Struthio camelus: one gene and its partner. The protein of the gene in region 1 purifies or fractionates together with the protein of each later gene. This does not show direct contact. Links are inferred from orthologs where the notes say so. Each region holds a gene or a part of one and is shown in the gene's direction. Other genes may lie near its edges.

Region 1 (7,695 bases):
CACACACAGCGCTTATTAAAAGTCCAAAAACAGCCAGAAGGGAGCCTTTCGCCTCCTCAGAGTAGCAACCGCCTGAGAAGAGTAGCAAGGACAGAGCAGATCATGCCTGTGTCAAACCTCTCTTCCCACAATAAAGGGAAACTGAAAAAGAAAGTGTCTGTGCCTGCTAGCAGGGTTTGATCTCCCTGCTCCTTTCGATCTGGGGCCCTCTCCCATTGTAGGGACCTGCCTTTGGCCACTTTGTCCTTTCCCTCTGCACAGCTGACCTGGTTTGCGAGGCCGACTAAACGACTGCCTGCCCTCGGACAGAGCCTAGAGCCCTGGCAGGATGCCTCAGGACAGTCTTCCTCGGACAGCAGGATGATGAGCAAGAAACGGTTATGGAGTAAGGCTGCCTAGGAAAAGGTCCTTCTAATTTCTGCCCGGGGACAGATTCACTGGGCGTTCACGTGGGTGCCGCAGATGTCCTGTTTAATATGCTCCACTGCCGTTCCACTATCTAAATCACAGCTGGAATCAGCCTGACCTCCTGTCCTGTCACTGATTGAAAAACATAATGACGACTTCGGCGATCTGGCACCTCACTACTTACGTAATTAATTTCTTTTTGAATCTGAGTAAGCTCTCGGCATCATTGGCATCTTGTGGCAGTGAGTTCCCGAGGTTCGCTCTGGCAACACCTTCTTTGCTCAATTTCATTTCCCATTGTCATCTTCATTAAATGACCAATTGTTCATGCACTATGAAGAGGAAAATTAACTTTCTCCAAAACAACCCTTATTCTGAATAGTCATCCTGCATCCTCCATGAATTACTACCTTGCATTTGCTCATTTATTCCATGCTTATTTGCATTTTGAACTTCTTTTTCTGGTTGCCTACTTAGGGGCTGCAGTGTCTATACAGGCAGGCCTTTCACTATTCCTACCCCAACTGAGGGTAAGGCTACAGCATGAAATCAGCTTTTGTTAGACAACAGAGAACCCGCAAGGAAGAGCAACATAAGGAAAGCCACAGCCACGGCAAAAGCTTCAGTCGGGCTTTACTCCTTCCCAGATACCAGAAAATCCAACTGCAGGCTGCAAGCCCAAGGAAACCCACTCCATCAGCGCTGCCACGCACTGAGCTAGTTGTAACTTAGCTGCTTCCTCTCACACCTTGCTGAACTGGTAGCCATTGCCTCTGCGGCCTTCACCTGCTCCACTTTGGCTCTATTTTGTGCCCTGGGAAGGCAGAGATCTCTTTGAGTTACTGACATTTCTCAGCTGCCTCGTAAACTTGTGGGCAGCTTGGTACCTTCCAGGTTTCATCTCTAGCTGGCTGAGCACGTGTGGCTGGAAGCACCCAGCATTTAAGCCTTCCTCTTGGCAAGGAACAGGCACCCCTTGAGACCTTTTTGTTTTAATACCTCAGAGTCACCGATATCAACATGACACACGATTGCGCAGTAGAGGCCTCGTGCCATCTGCCCCCTTTGCGTTTTAGAGGGAAGTCACCATAAAACCTCACACTGTGATGTCTAAAAATGAGGCTCAGAAAAGCTAGTTATGAATGCAGAGGGGCCATGCCTGGATAGGATTTGGTGCACACTCTTGCAGCCCACCACAGCACTGAATGTTTAACCACAGACTAGTGTTTTGTGTCAAGTTATCACTGGCCTAATCCTCCGGTTACAACCACCATTGAAAATCTTCAACAACTTTTACTAAAAATGCAAACAAGGAAGAAAGGCACATGGAAGCATCTGAAACTCATTTACCTTATTTCCTTTAATGCTTCTTCCTTTCATTGTAAAGCCTTGTCTATGGGGAAAAAAATCCCCTATACTTTTGCAAATCCAAATCTAAACAAATCCAGCTTTTCCCCAAGAAGGAAAAGCCATCTCTTCCATGTCAAATGCATATTGTTAACACCAGACTAGTAGCTAGTACGGGATCAGACACACTCCCCCACACACATGTATACACTTGTCACAAATATTCTTCTGATAAAAGTTTCAGTGAACCCAGTTCATTTCTGCGGACGGTCTCGATTCTGATGAGTTGGCACTTTTCAGCACAAAAGTGTTTAATCAGATCTTTCCTGACCAGTTCTGCAGCTGCGCCGTGTGCCATTCACAGAGCGCTCCTCACCCGTGGAGAAATAGGTTAGCTGAGCGTGGGGAAAGCCACCAGAACGCTCCCTAGTGCTTCGAAGTAAAAGATCGGAACTTCCCACAAGAAACAGAGCAAAAATACTTCCATCCTAAAAAAATACAGCAGCAATTTGACTTTCTTGTGTGTGAATTTACGACATCATGTAAATTAACTCAATTCCCAGCATCATAAAAAAGGCTGCCTTTTTTTCTTCCTGTGAGGTTTGCACTTTCCCTACATTTCAAAAGTGCCTCCTTATTTTCAGCCCTCAACAGCACCACGAAGCTTTATACTTTTTCACAAAGGTGTAAGAGCCGCTTGCTCTCCCTAAAGCGACGTGAATAAAGGTTTCACGTAATTTATTAGAGGACTTCCAAAATTCCCAGCTAGCAACTCTCAGGGGCTACCAGAGCTTTGCTCTTTCATTCCCAGCACAGTGAAGATTCAGTGGGATACTTGCAACGTGAGCGAGCTGAACGGCGCAGCCTCAGCCCACTGACAGCAAAGAGCTGCAGATTGCCAGACTTTTACAAGCGTTTGAACAAATCTAACCAAGATAGCGTTTGGTGTGATGCTCAGCATACACCATCTCTGTGAGTGCACGAGCAGACAACCAAGTAATTAACACAACCAAGTCCAAGCACGAAGAGCGACTCCCTGGGAGACGCTGAAAAGGCAGCAACAAGGCTACGACACGCTTCGAGCTGCCGACTGGCTGCTTCTGAAAGGTTTCACAGCGGAGGGTGTGTATTCACACACGTGAGCTGTGTCTCTGCCACGGTGTCCTGTACTTCCTGGAACAACCCGCCACCCTCTGAGCCTGTTTGTACTACGTATGTAGATAAGGTGCACTGCCCTGAGAAATTCTGCCTTTGCAGAGCACCCCAGCACCTGAAGCAAAGCCAGCACGGTACCTCTTGGCTGCACCACACGGCAGCAAGGCCTTGGCTGTAACATCTCTCGCAGGGCAGACAGGAGGAATCCAGAATGGCTCAGCAGCTCCAGGCCAGCCCAAGCTCTTCTTTCCCCGCTTGGAAAAGTGCTGGTGTCCCTCCTCCATCCAAAAGTTACGGTCAGCTCAAGCCTGCTGGCATTTCCAGAGAAAGGCAAGAAGTCCAAAGGCGCTAGAGCAGGCAGCTAGGGCCGCAGTGCAGCACGAGGGGTAGTGGCAACAGGGGTTATTTTGCAGGTAACATGAGGACTTCAGTGAAGGGGGGACAGAAACAAGTATTGCACAAGAGGAGCTTTGGCAGCTGGGCACGGGGAAGTTGGAGAGGAGGGATGGGAGCCCTGAAGAGTGCAAAGCGCAGGTGGAAATCACAGGAGGACTGCGGGGCTTGGAGGACAAGGGCTTCGGGGGGCAGATGTAACTGAGCGAGTGTCTCCTTGGCACTCTGCTTTCCGCTCCTGTCCATGAGTGCTCTCGGAGTCCCAAGGCAACTCCAGCTCTGCACAGGGCATGTTCAGCACAGCACATTTCGCGGGAATCCCCTGAAACCTGCCTGCGTGGGAAACAAGCCATCCGAGGTGATGCAAGGAGCGGCCGCAAACACAGCCCTAGCGCTCCTGCGAGTTGCGCCACACCTGAGAAGCGGTGGTTTTCCAAGCGCGGGGCTGGCCAAAGCAGCAGGCGGATGGCTCACTCGGCAAACTAAAGAAACCAGTTTTACACGCGCCGCAGCCTTCCCACCCCACGCTCGTGAGTAAATCTGCTGCGATTGCAAAAGCGACTTATCCCTTTCACATGCTGAGAAAGCATCTCTACGGATAGGCTTTGTACCTATTCCTTCGGCTAACCAGCACCGTCTTCGCTATCGGCACCGGACTGCAACCGCACGAGGAAAGCGGCGGCCAGGCCACACCCTCTGGTGAACACAGCAGCGATCGGGGGGATCGCTGGACGCAGCGCACCCCGGGCCTCGCAGGGCCAGCCCAGGCCGGGCGCTGCCAGGAGGGCGGCGGGGACGCTGCCCCAGGCCTGCCCGGGGGTCCCTCCTCTCGGTGCCAGCGCCTCGGGGCTGCCACGGGCAGCAACAGCCCTTTCCAATCCCTCAGAGCCGCCCGGGAGGCTGAGAGGCTACGGAGGAGCCTGAAGGCGGGGAGCCAGGGGCTCCTCGCTCAGCCAGCGGCCGCGGGGCCGGGCCGGGCCCTCCGGAGCGGGGCACCCCACGAAGGGCCACGCGAGCACAAGGGACCGGCTGGCCCTTCCCCTCGTTCCTCCCCCGGCAGAGCAGAGCGCAGCACGGCGGCCGGGCCGAGCGGCGGGAGCGGCCGCCGCTCCCTCAGGGAACCGCCGCCGCCGCCACCACCACAGCGGCCAACGGCCACACGGCGCCGCGCGGCGCAAGGAGGGGGGGGAGGGGCGGGCAGCGTCACGTGCCGCCCCCGCGCGCTGGGCGCAGGCGCGCGGCCCGTGACGAGGCGCGTGGGCGGGGCGGGGCGGGGGCGCGCGGGGCGCCCGGGCTCAGGCGGCGGAGGTGGCGGCGGCGGCGGCAGGGAGCGGGGCCGGCGCCGCCATGTCCATGGAGGACCCCTTCTTCGTGGTGAAGGGGTGAGCGGGGCCCGGCTGCGGGGGGTCCCGCGGGGGTGGGGCGGGCCCGAGCCCTCTGCGCGGCGGCGCCGCCACACCGGGGATGTCCCTCCGTGGGTGGGGGGGGGGGGGGATCGGGCCTCCCCGAGCCGCCACCACCCCCCGCCCCCGTGCGCCAGGCCGGGGCCTCGCCGCCCCCTCTGCTGCTGCTCAGGGGCTCGGGAGGGGAGGAGGGACCCCCCCCCCCGGCCCCGGGAACCCCCCCGAGGGCGGCCGGCGAGGCGGCGGCCCCACGCGAGGGACGCGCGTGGCCGCTCGCGGCGAGGCGGCCGCGGCGCGAGGAGGCTGGCGGCCACCCCCTCGCAGGCGGCTGGGCGGCGCGGAGGGCCGCGGAAGGGAGGCGGTCGAGGCAGGGGGCGAGGGGAACCCTAACGAAGAGGGGCGAAGCACCTTTGACCTCTTAAGAAGCAGGCCGGGGTGATTTCCCCGCTTCTGGTGGGAGCCGGTTGTCCGGCTCCGTGTCGCAGCGAAGCCGTGGGGACGCGAGCGGCCGTCCGGAGCGGTGGAGGGATTCGGAGGAAGCTGCTGCGAACGGGAGGAGCGCGGCACCAGCCGGAGTTCGCTCAGGGGGCGAACGCAAGCGAATCGCTCTTCCAGGTTGAACTGGTGCTATGGGAAACAAAACTACAACAACAACAACAACAAAAACCCACTAAAGGCCGTGGGTGGGGAGCAAACGTCCTGTCAGACTTTCCAGAGAGATTCCCCGCGCTGTGAGGGAAAGGGTTGGGAGGGGAGCGGGGATGTGCTGCCGCTTTTGGTGTTGATTCTTCTCCTGCAGGTTGCAGTGGAAGGGGTTGGTGTTCAAGCCCAGCCGTGCTTCATTCAATTTGCTTTCCTTTCATTCATAACTCCTCCCATCTGCAAACATCGAGCTCCGCTTTAGACTTCCACTTGTAGGGACTTCCTCGAGCACATTCAGATTTGAAAAAAAAAAAAAAACACCCAAAACTTTGCCTAGCAAGTAACAGAGGAAACAAACCACACTAGATCCTTAGTCCTGGCTGCTAACTTTAGGGGAGTAGATGCAACAGACTCTTTGAGCCATAAATGTCCGAGAAGAGGAGGAACACACATCAAGGTGCAGAGACTTCAGCATAATGATGTAATGTAGAGAGACCTGGAGCCCAATGGCCCTCCGAGGGCTGCTGGGTGAGGACGTGGTTCACCCATCTAGGCTTCTCCAACTGGTAAACTGCTTTGATTCACTGGAGATCAGCGCCCCTTGCACGATCCTGTGTGCAAGCTCTTGGATTCGTGGCCACCTTTCAAGAGCCAGCAAAGTCTCGCTGGCGTTGGTCTTGTCTGTCTGCCTCGTCCTGACTCGCCGTTAGCCCAAGAGAATGGTCCATAGTGTTTGTACGTATGGATAATCACACCGACAGTTACCTGCCCTCTTGCCCCAAACCGTGAATGCAGCGTTCAGTGCTGTCAGCAAAGCCTATGTTCCCATGCTGTGAATGCGCTCTTCTCTAAAAAGCTGAGAGCAGCAGAAGAGAGTTCTGTTGGCTAAGCCAGTGCAGTAGAGCCGTGTATTTTTTTAATGCTAAATTAAAGTAAACAGTGCTGCGCTGGACAGTCTGCATGACTGTAACGTGGGGGCAGTTCCTCTAATTCTGTTTGCCCTTGGGGTATCTTGCCTAGGTAGTCAACAGTCTTTAGAGGAAAGCTGTTGGGAGAAATGCAAAATAATAATTGCCAAATAAGAGTCTTGATCAGACAGTTGCACTGCCCTATCTTGCTGTTTGTGACACTGAACAGAAACCTCCGGTAGCTGAACTATGAGTTGTTGCTCAGCACTTCATGCTACAACACTAAAGGAGACGAGCTTGTCCAGAAGCGTGGTGAATCCTTATTTTACAAAATAAACCAAAAATACTTGAAGGAAAGATGTTTGGGAGGAGGTTGCACATCCCTGCTCTCCTGGACATGGGACTGTCCCTGCATGACTGCGGCAAAACAACTAAAAATAATCCCTTCACTTCTCTTTAATTATCCTGACTGCAGGGAGGTGCAGAAAGCAGTGAATACTGCCCAGGGGCTCTTCCAGAGGTGGACGGAGCTCTTGCAAGATCCCTCTATAGCCACAAGAGAAGAAATTGACTGGACCACTAATGAGCTCAGGAACAATTTGCGGAGCATCGAGTGGGACTTGGAAGACCTGGATGAAACAATTAATATCCTTTTTGCACTGCTGGTGCCGTCTTTGGAGGTAGAGAGAGGCAGTTCACACCTTGCAATAAACAGTCAAGTGCTCGTGCTCGCCAGTAGTTGCTTTTTGCAGAAACCAAGACTGTTCGGGATTGAATTTTCAGTTTACCCCAGGTTTTCTCGAATTGCAAATGAGAGAGGAAGATGACAAAACAGGTTCTGCGCACGAATTTCCCTCTGCGTTTTTGTTCACCTTTTGAAAAGGTGTCTATTAAGATGCTTTCTTCCCAGAAAACTGTTCTGTTGAATGAACTTGGATTTCTGTGTAGTCAGTCCTACTCGAGGCTGGCTTCCAGAAATACTCCTTTTCCCTGTGTTCGGCTGAACACTCCTGAAAGTGCTGCACAGCATCAGACAACCAAAAACCACACGAGCGTGTGGTTTCTTTCTCGTGCGTTCTGCAAAGTATGTTGCAGCCGTGCTTTTTTCCTTTAGTGTCTTGTACTTTGCTAATCGAATGTTGGGAAAAGGCACAGGTAAATGGAGGCGCTATACCGCGTGATAGACTTCTCAGTGGTCAGGATTTCTCTATCTGCGTACGTACTGCACCCTGCAAACAGTGATTCCTTGACTTGTTCTCTACGCATTGTTGAGGCAAACCCTCGGAAATTCAACCTCGATGCAACGGAGTTGGGTATACGGAAAACCTTCATCACAAGCACGCGGCAGGTGGTCAGGGTAAGGAACGTGGGCTTCAGGTAGGAACGGGGCACAAGCGTTGGGGTGGGGGGGCCACTTCGGTGGGAAAGCAGAAAGCTTG
Region 2 (7,710 bases), on another chromosome or scaffold:
CCATTCTAGTAAAAAGAGCAACATATTCCTTCAGTAGCTATTAATAACCTTAGGAAAAAAAGCGTTTCTTTTACTCCATAACCTGCTTGTAAATAATACCTGGTTATAATCTGAATGGTCCAAACTCTACCCTCTCTGGGTGTGCAGCATCCAGAGCGCAGTGGGATTCGCTAAACAGAACCGCACGCTCCCCAAATCGTCAGCATTTTCTGCTTCTTACAGTCCTGTATGTAACCTTCATCAGGTGCGTAAAGCAGCACATTGCAGAGGAACTCTTCTGATTTTTCACACAGTGAACTCTTCCAGGTCTTTGCTGCAAGGCGCTGATGCCCAAAGGTGCTCTGTGACTCCCCAGCGTGGCTCTGCCTCCCTGGGACCTTTCCAGGTTCGGAGCCAGCCGTGGAGCTCCACAACACCGTTCTGCACTGCCAGCTCAGGCCCCCGGGCACTGTAGGCAGCTCCCACGGCTTGCCACCCAAGCTGGCAGCCATCAGACAAAATGTTTAAGACACCAGCCACTTCTTCTGTTTCTTCTCCTGCAGTCCTCACCCCTTAGAGAAACTTTTCTTTTTGAGTGCGGTCTTCGCTTTTACAGTAGAAAGGAAAACCGACTTAACATCTCAAACATTGGGCACCCATTCTCTCTAAGCTTCAAATTACAGATTTTGCCAAGATAACTACAACTACACAAAAGCACTAAAAAACCCATTGTGTTTAAACAAAATACAATAGGGACGGGTTCTGCCCAGCTGCAGCTCACTGGAAGCAGGCTTGTTTGGCAGAAATTAATTTTCAAGGCAGTATAATACACTTTAATATGGTCAATGTTCTGTGAAATTATGACAGAGTGCTAGTTTAAAAAGAAAATAATTACTTGTGAAGTAGCTCAAATTGGTTGAATGAATGTTTTGATCAGGGATAAAGGCATGATTTTGTTTCCATCTTTGCTCATTGCTGTATCTGCAGCATGGGCAGCACCATTTGCTGTATGTACTCTCAAAATGCTGATAAGGACAAAATGGCATTTTTCCTTTTTGTAGTATAACAAGTTTTCTACAAGATCCAGCAAATGTTTTGTATGCTTGTATCTTTTTAATGAAATGAAAATGAAGAGAAAAAAGAGTAGTAGCAGGAAAGTGTTGAGAAATATTTGACCGACTCTTCATTGGTCTCAATTCTAAGTTTCCTAACTCAGCAGCTATAGCTAATAGTATATATCTGGCAGATATGGAATCAGCTACAAACTGCTAGCTTGTCTGAGCACAAATTATTTTCAGTACCTCTTCAGTTAAAAAAAAAAAAAAAAAAAAAAGATCACTTTCAAAACAGGGCTCATGTCCGAGCTTTCCATGAGAAATCATGCACATGTAGTAGTAGAATCCAAAATCCTATGCTGCACACAGTCCAATCTTACTAAAATTCATGAGGCCTTCAGATGTCCAAACCTAAGAGGGTCACATTTAATAACACAATAATATTGATAACAGATACATAAGTTACCTGAACTAACCCTCAGTAAGGCAAGTAATTGTAGCCAACTATGAAGTTAGCCTACCAGAGAAAAATACTTTTAACACTATCTCTTTTTTGTAAGACTATGTATTATCACAAGTTCTTCCAATACCCATGACTGCAACAGTAGACTAGATTTAATTAAGAGAGTTTCTTCTGGAATTCAGTGAAACACGTTTAAGTATGTTGCTCTTTAAGCATAAATCTACATTGTTATTTAACCCCCCAAATTGTTCTCCAGTTCTTCCCTGAGCGTCCATTTTGCATGCCTGTTAATTTGGGGGTTCTCCTTTGCCGTAAGCCAGCTAATTCTCTGAGCGATGAGCCCAGGCGCACTTCTGGACATAATTGACTTTGGGGCCCATTCACAGTAGACAGCAGGGTAAGACCAGACCCGACTTGGTACACTGTGCAAGCATGCAAACCATCCTGGGAGGCTTTGTGCTCTTGAGTGTCCTCCGCTTACCCTTAGGTCATGCAAGGCATGCACTCAGTGTGGTATGATTAAAAATCGTAACTGGCAGGCTAGACCACACACACATACCCACACAGTATATAAGAAAAATGATATCTTAAAAATCATCACAAGGATCGAGCAGCAACAGGCCAAGTGTTTGTTAGGCAATCAGTATAATTGTATCCATTCACTTCAGAGGGTGCTGCTCCTAAGAACTGGGGGATACCCACTGCACTACTTGCCTGGGAGCATGAATCACTCTTAAAGTCATGAATACATTTAGCACTGTAGATGTAGCTTAAGCATCACCATGCAGGCATACAGCTGATAGCCAGCTTGCCACTAAACCAAGGAAATGCTTACTCTGTTTTCAGAGAACACATGGAGAAGACTCACTCCTGAAGGAACTGAGACTCCTTAAAAAAAATACAGATCTTTTTCTTTTGTTTTCTTTCCGTATGCTTGAAATCCAGGTAACAAAGTAACTTCAGCTGTACAAAAGCCTACACAGACTTGGGGAGGCATACCATAATGACAGCAGCAACATGTCCCTTTAACATATACCGAACAGTGTAGGTGTGTCCCTGCCATTACACAAGCACAGAAGCTGTCCAGAGGAACAGGCTGTGTCCCTTGTATGCCAGGCAAAACTGCATGTGTGTGCGCGTGCACATGTATACATATGCACTCTTTATCAAATCTAAAGGTGATCTCTTTCACAGATCATTCCTAACCTGGTTGCTGCCTGTCCTCTTCAGTACCTCACTGTTTCACTGATGTCCACCATCACAGTGTGGCCAACTGTCTGCAAAAGATAAACATCCCAGGTTTAGCCAGGAACTGAGAGTCCAGCCCTTTCCTGGCAGCTTTTGTCAAAGGCGGCTCCCCCAAGCCCGTTTGTTAGCCCTCTTCCTCCTTTGCACTGTACTGAAGCAAAGTATCACAGTGCTTATCCTGCTAGGCAGTTCCCACCTGCCATAGAACAGGTGTGGGTTTTTACCTTGCAGGCTTGTCTGTCACAGAAAGGCTGGTGTAAGGGACAACGTGCAGCCTGCTCAGCAAGCTGGGTATGCCTGCTGAGGGCGGCCTGCCAATTACAGCAGCGTGTCTGCCACTGGGCTGGGGGAGGGGGGGGGAAACACTCATATTTGGGCCTCCCTGGTAGCATAACCACACAGTTCAGAGGGCTTTGAACAAGCAACACCCCCCGCCCCCGGCACAAATCCTCTCAGTCCCTGTATGGCGGGGTTACCTGCTTCACAGGCACAGCCCACATCGAGGCCTCTGCCGATGCCTGGTTCAAGCCCGCGTGCCCGCAGCCTGGCACCAGCCGCTCCCACCAGGCGTTGCACTCACGCAACACGCCCCGGCCACCCGCGGGCACTGCCGGGCTGGACCGGTGGGGAGAGCCGGAGCGGGCGGAGAAACCCCTGCGGCGCCTGACGCAGCGGCGAGCGCCGCCACAGCCGTTCCCGACCTCCCGCCCCGCCCTCGCCACCACCTCAGCGGCCCCGGCGCGCGACCCCCCCCCCTCCCCAACGGCCGCGAGGCGAGCCCGCCAACGGCCGCGGCGCGCGACCCCCCCCAACGGCCGCGAGGCGAGCCCAACGGCCGCGGCGCGCGACCCCCCCCCTCCCCAACGGCCGCGAGGCGAGCCCGCCAACGGCCGCGGCGCGCGACCCCCCCCAACGGCCGCGAGGCGAGCCCCCCCCCCCCCAACGGCCGCGAGGCGAGCCCGCCAACGGCCGCGGCGCGCGACCCCCCCCCAACGGCCGCGAGGCGAGCCCAACGGCCGCGGCGCGCGACCCCCCCCAACGGCCGCGAGGCGAGCCCCCCCCCCCAACGGCCGCGAGGCGAGCCCAACGGCCGCGGCGCGCGACCCCCCCCAACGGCCGCGAGGCGAGCCCGCCAACGGCCGCGGGGCGCGACCCCCCCCCTCCAACGGCCGCGAGGCGAGCCCGCCAACGGCCGCGGCGCGCGACCCCCCCCCCTCCAACGGCCGCGAGGCGAGCCCAACGGCCGCGGCGCGCGACCCTCCCCCTCCCCCTCCCCCTCCCCAACGGCCGCGAGGCGAGCCCGCCAACGGCCGCGGCGCGCGACCCCCCCCCTCCAACGGCCGCGAGGCGAGCCCAACGGTCGCGGCGCGCGACCCTCCCCCTCCCCAACGGCCGCGAGGCGAGCCCGCCAACGGCCGTGGCGCCCGACCCCCCCCCCGCCCCCCAACGGCCGCGGCACGCGCCGGCCGCCCCGCCCGCTCGGGGCTGTGGCCTAGGCAAGGCCCGCCCCGGCTCGTCACATCGCGAGGGCTGGCGGGGCTGCGCGCACTTCCTGCCGGGCGCGGTCGGACGTTTTCGGTGGGCGGCAGCTCGACCCCGGCGGCAGCATGTGAGTGTGGGCCGGGGTGGGCGGCGGGCCCGAGGTGGGGGGGGGAGCCCGCGGCCGGGGGAGCCGGGGCGGCGGGCGAGCGGCGCTGGGCGGGCCGTGCCGGGTCGGGCGGCGGCCGGAGCAGGCCGGACGGGCGGGCGGGGAGGGGCGGGGCGGGGCGGGGGGCTCGTGGGAGCGGCTGTGCCTGGAGCCGTGAGGGGCGCTGCGGTGGCTGAGAGCCGCGTAGTGTCGCTGGCCCAGGCACTGGGGCGTTCGTCTTCTGCTTAGGGTGGGCTATCCTGTCCTGGTTTCTTCAGGCCAGTCTGAAGGGGCTTCTGTCAAGTCTACCAAGGCGGTCTAGTCTTGGATTAGCAGTGAAAGAGTATAAAAGGGTGACCTCGCTGTCAAGGTGTAGGAGCAGTTCTGTTGTCATACATGTGGACTGCTCTTGAGCCCTGTCATAGGCTTCCTGGTTTGCTCCTTGTACAGGTACACCTTTGTTCCCTTTAAATGTAGATTTAGGTTAAAATGTATAAATATAGCTAATATTCAAATTCATCTTTCTTATATCAAGGTGCACTAAACAGTAGTGTGTCTGATGCAGAATGGATGAAAATACAGAAGAGCAAATTGAGTACAGCTAGTCCTAGAGACGGATAACAAAAAGACATTAAAGCCGCGAAGAGGGCATGGGGAATGTGTAGAGAGGATCTTGGTTCAGTTACAGAGATGCAAAGTGTTGCAGCTGGTAAAAGGAACTAGATTGCCTGACCTTAGGAATTAAAAGCTGACCGCAAGTAAATTGCTGTATGCTGAATGCTTTTTCCTCATTGTGCTTTCTCTGGCTCCATGCCAACTGTTTCAAACAAAACGGGTAAGCACTGGAAGAGCGTGTAGTTAGAATAACCATTAAGTTTCTGTATTTCATTTTTGGAAAGCTGCTGAGTCTTGAAGCTTAGTATTTGCATTCTTTCTGAAGAAAACACCCCTGAACCCAAGCTCTTGAATGTTTGAGCCCTATGAGCCATTGTAGAAGTCACTGTATGCCTTATTACAAGTTGCATTATTAGCCAGCCACAGCTGTCTTTTAGCACTTCAAGCAATTAATTCACTGGCAGGAGGTTTTAGGGCACAGCTTGATTTATACCCAAGGTCAGTGGTTAAAACCTCATTTCTCCCATGGGAAAGGAAACTGCCCCATATTTCTTCCAAGGATCCAAGGTCCCTGTTTTCAGGAACAGCAGATAATTTCTAAACTTAAGCTTATCAACTTGAAGAAAATTATAAAAAGTGATTATAAAATAATGATTGCTTTCCTTAATGCAGGTCAGCAAGCGGCCCTGGAAGCTCAAATGTTGCTGCTGGCAGTAATCGTCGTCTTCAACAAACACAACACCAAGTAGATGAGGTAAAGGTCTAGTCTGATAGCAGTGTAATTCTGTCTCTTTCAGAAAACCTGATAAGCAAAATAGATAAGCTTTGGCCGCAGCAGTTATTATTCCTTTATGTGAAAGGGAAGCCTAGTATAATTCAGCTTTCCTTATTATACTTGTATCACTTTGGGTCTTGAAAAGGTTTAAAACAAAAAACAAAAAAAAGGGGAGGGTGAGGGGTGGCAGCATGTCAAAAAACTTCCATTCTGCTGTTCTGCCGGAGTGGGGAGAAGTTGCCAGCGTCTAAAGGTTAGCTGCAAACTCTATGTCTGAGGATTGGGCGTAAGTTAAAATAGTACCCTTTGTTCTTACAGAGAACAAACTTTTCTTTCCTCGGTGGCAAAGGCAGCTGATCGTCTCCAAATAAGACATGCCCAAATTTCTGAGGAATCCAAAAGCCGTTAACGGTTAAGAGCAGCTTTATCTGCTTGAACAGGATAGCACTTAAAATGAATTGCATGTCAAAAATATTTTGTCAGTCATGGTAAAATGCCTCAACTCCTTCTGAAGTAGGTCGTAAATAATTTCCCAGGTTTCAGGGAATGCCAGCACAACTTAGAGAACTTTTCTGCAGTACTGACGTTTGAAAGTAGGTATTAGGAACTTCCAGCTGCATGTGAAATGCACATTTTCACTGAAGCTCGCGATTAGATTTCCTAAAAGGCAATTGCTCCTACTCCTTAGGAGAACATTAAAAATATCAAAAATATCAGGTATTGGGATCTGTTGTCTGCAATTAATCTCTCCAATGGGTGATACAGTTGATGTACTTACTGTAAGTGTTAAATTGATGTAGGTGGTTGACATCATGAGGGTGAATGTGGACAAGGTATTGGAACGAGATCAGAAGCTGTCAGAGTTGGATGACCGTGCTGATGCGCTGCAAGCAGGAGCTTCCCAGTTTGAGACCAGTGCAGCCAAACTGAAAAGAAAGTATTGGTGGAAGAACTGTAAGGTAACTGTGGCTTGAATACTTGAACTACTCAGTATTACAATCAGTATCTCAGAAAGCAGAAGTAAAAATGACTCGACCAATGTTAAGTTATAGCAGCTAGTTTTAAAACATATACCACAGAGCTTGTGCGCAGTGATCAATGTCTGGATTACCAGCCCTGCTCCTTGACACAAGACCTTGTCTAAGATGGAAATGGCCAAAGGGAAATATTATTGCAATCTGAGGCTTTGGGGAACAAGAGGGAAAAGACCAAAAATATATCGGTGGAGCTAACCTGCAAGGAAGCATTGCAAAGCCGAAGGAGCTCGCTCAGTCTTCCGCAGCTCCTGGCAAATGTTGGAACCTTCTTTGAGCAACAAAGTGGAAAATGTGGTGTAGGATAGGAGTAGAAGAGGTGTTTAATAGGATTCTTCTTACTCCTGTTGGTATAGTCACCTGAGACAGGCTTTGCATAGAGACATAACGGAAGGGAGCTTCTTGGTCTACTTCAGTTGCCAGTGTGCACAACCTACCATTTCTGAGTGTCAATCAAGATGAGCTTGCTGCACAAGTTCTTAACAAGTTAACAAGTACCTTGTTAATCTAGCACACAGTGCAAGAGTACCTTGCAATGGCTGCTTCCCCCCTTGCCCCCAGTACCCTAAAAGCCTGTAAATGCTGCTGCATAGTCTTGTAGTAAGTGTGTTGTGGCTTTTTTCACAGATGTGGGCAATATTGATAGCTGTTGTTCTCATTATCATCATCATCATCATTGGTAAGTTTCACTGAAATGGGGATTTCTCTGAAGAGTTGCAGTGGAAGGGATTAATTCACTGACTGATACAGTTTAGTAAAGCCTGGGTCCTCAAATTGAAAGTGTATATATAACAACATTAACTTGAAATAGCAGTGACTGCTTAAACTATTGCTTAGTTGACTGCACAGTGAGTGGTAGACACACTGCTGAGTGAGCTCTAACAGCTGAATCTTGAACGCCTGTGCAACATGGG

The links.
Region 2: the proteins of STX6 (region 1) and VAMP3 purify together in Homo sapiens (affinity purification with mass spectrometry; 5 studies listed by BioGRID and IntAct, counting the BioPlex papers as one, with this or other methods). This does not show direct contact. The link is inferred for Struthio camelus from reciprocal best matches to the Homo sapiens genes STX6 and VAMP3.

The regions. Positions count from the first base shown.
Region 1 is NC_090949.1:6,931,882-6,939,576, reverse strand, and holds the start of STX6 (syntaxin-6), read left to right. Parts: upstream 1-4,575; 5' UTR 4,576-4,650; coding exon 4,651-4,685; intron 4,686-6,731; coding exon 6,732-6,901; intron 6,902-7,518; coding exon 7,519-7,613; intron 7,614-7,695. UniProt on the Homo sapiens protein: SNARE promoting movement of transport vesicles to target membranes. Targets endosomes to the trans-Golgi network, and may therefore function in retrograde trafficking.
Region 2 is NC_090962.1:231,402-239,111, reverse strand, and holds the start of VAMP3 (vesicle-associated membrane protein 3), read left to right. Parts: upstream 1-4,222; 5' UTR 4,223-4,352; coding exon 4,353-4,354; intron 4,355-5,659; coding exon 5,660-5,741; intron 5,742-6,562; coding exon 6,563-6,721; intron 6,722-7,423; coding exon 7,424-7,475; intron 7,476-7,710. UniProt on the Homo sapiens protein: SNARE involved in vesicular transport from the late endosomes to the trans-Golgi network.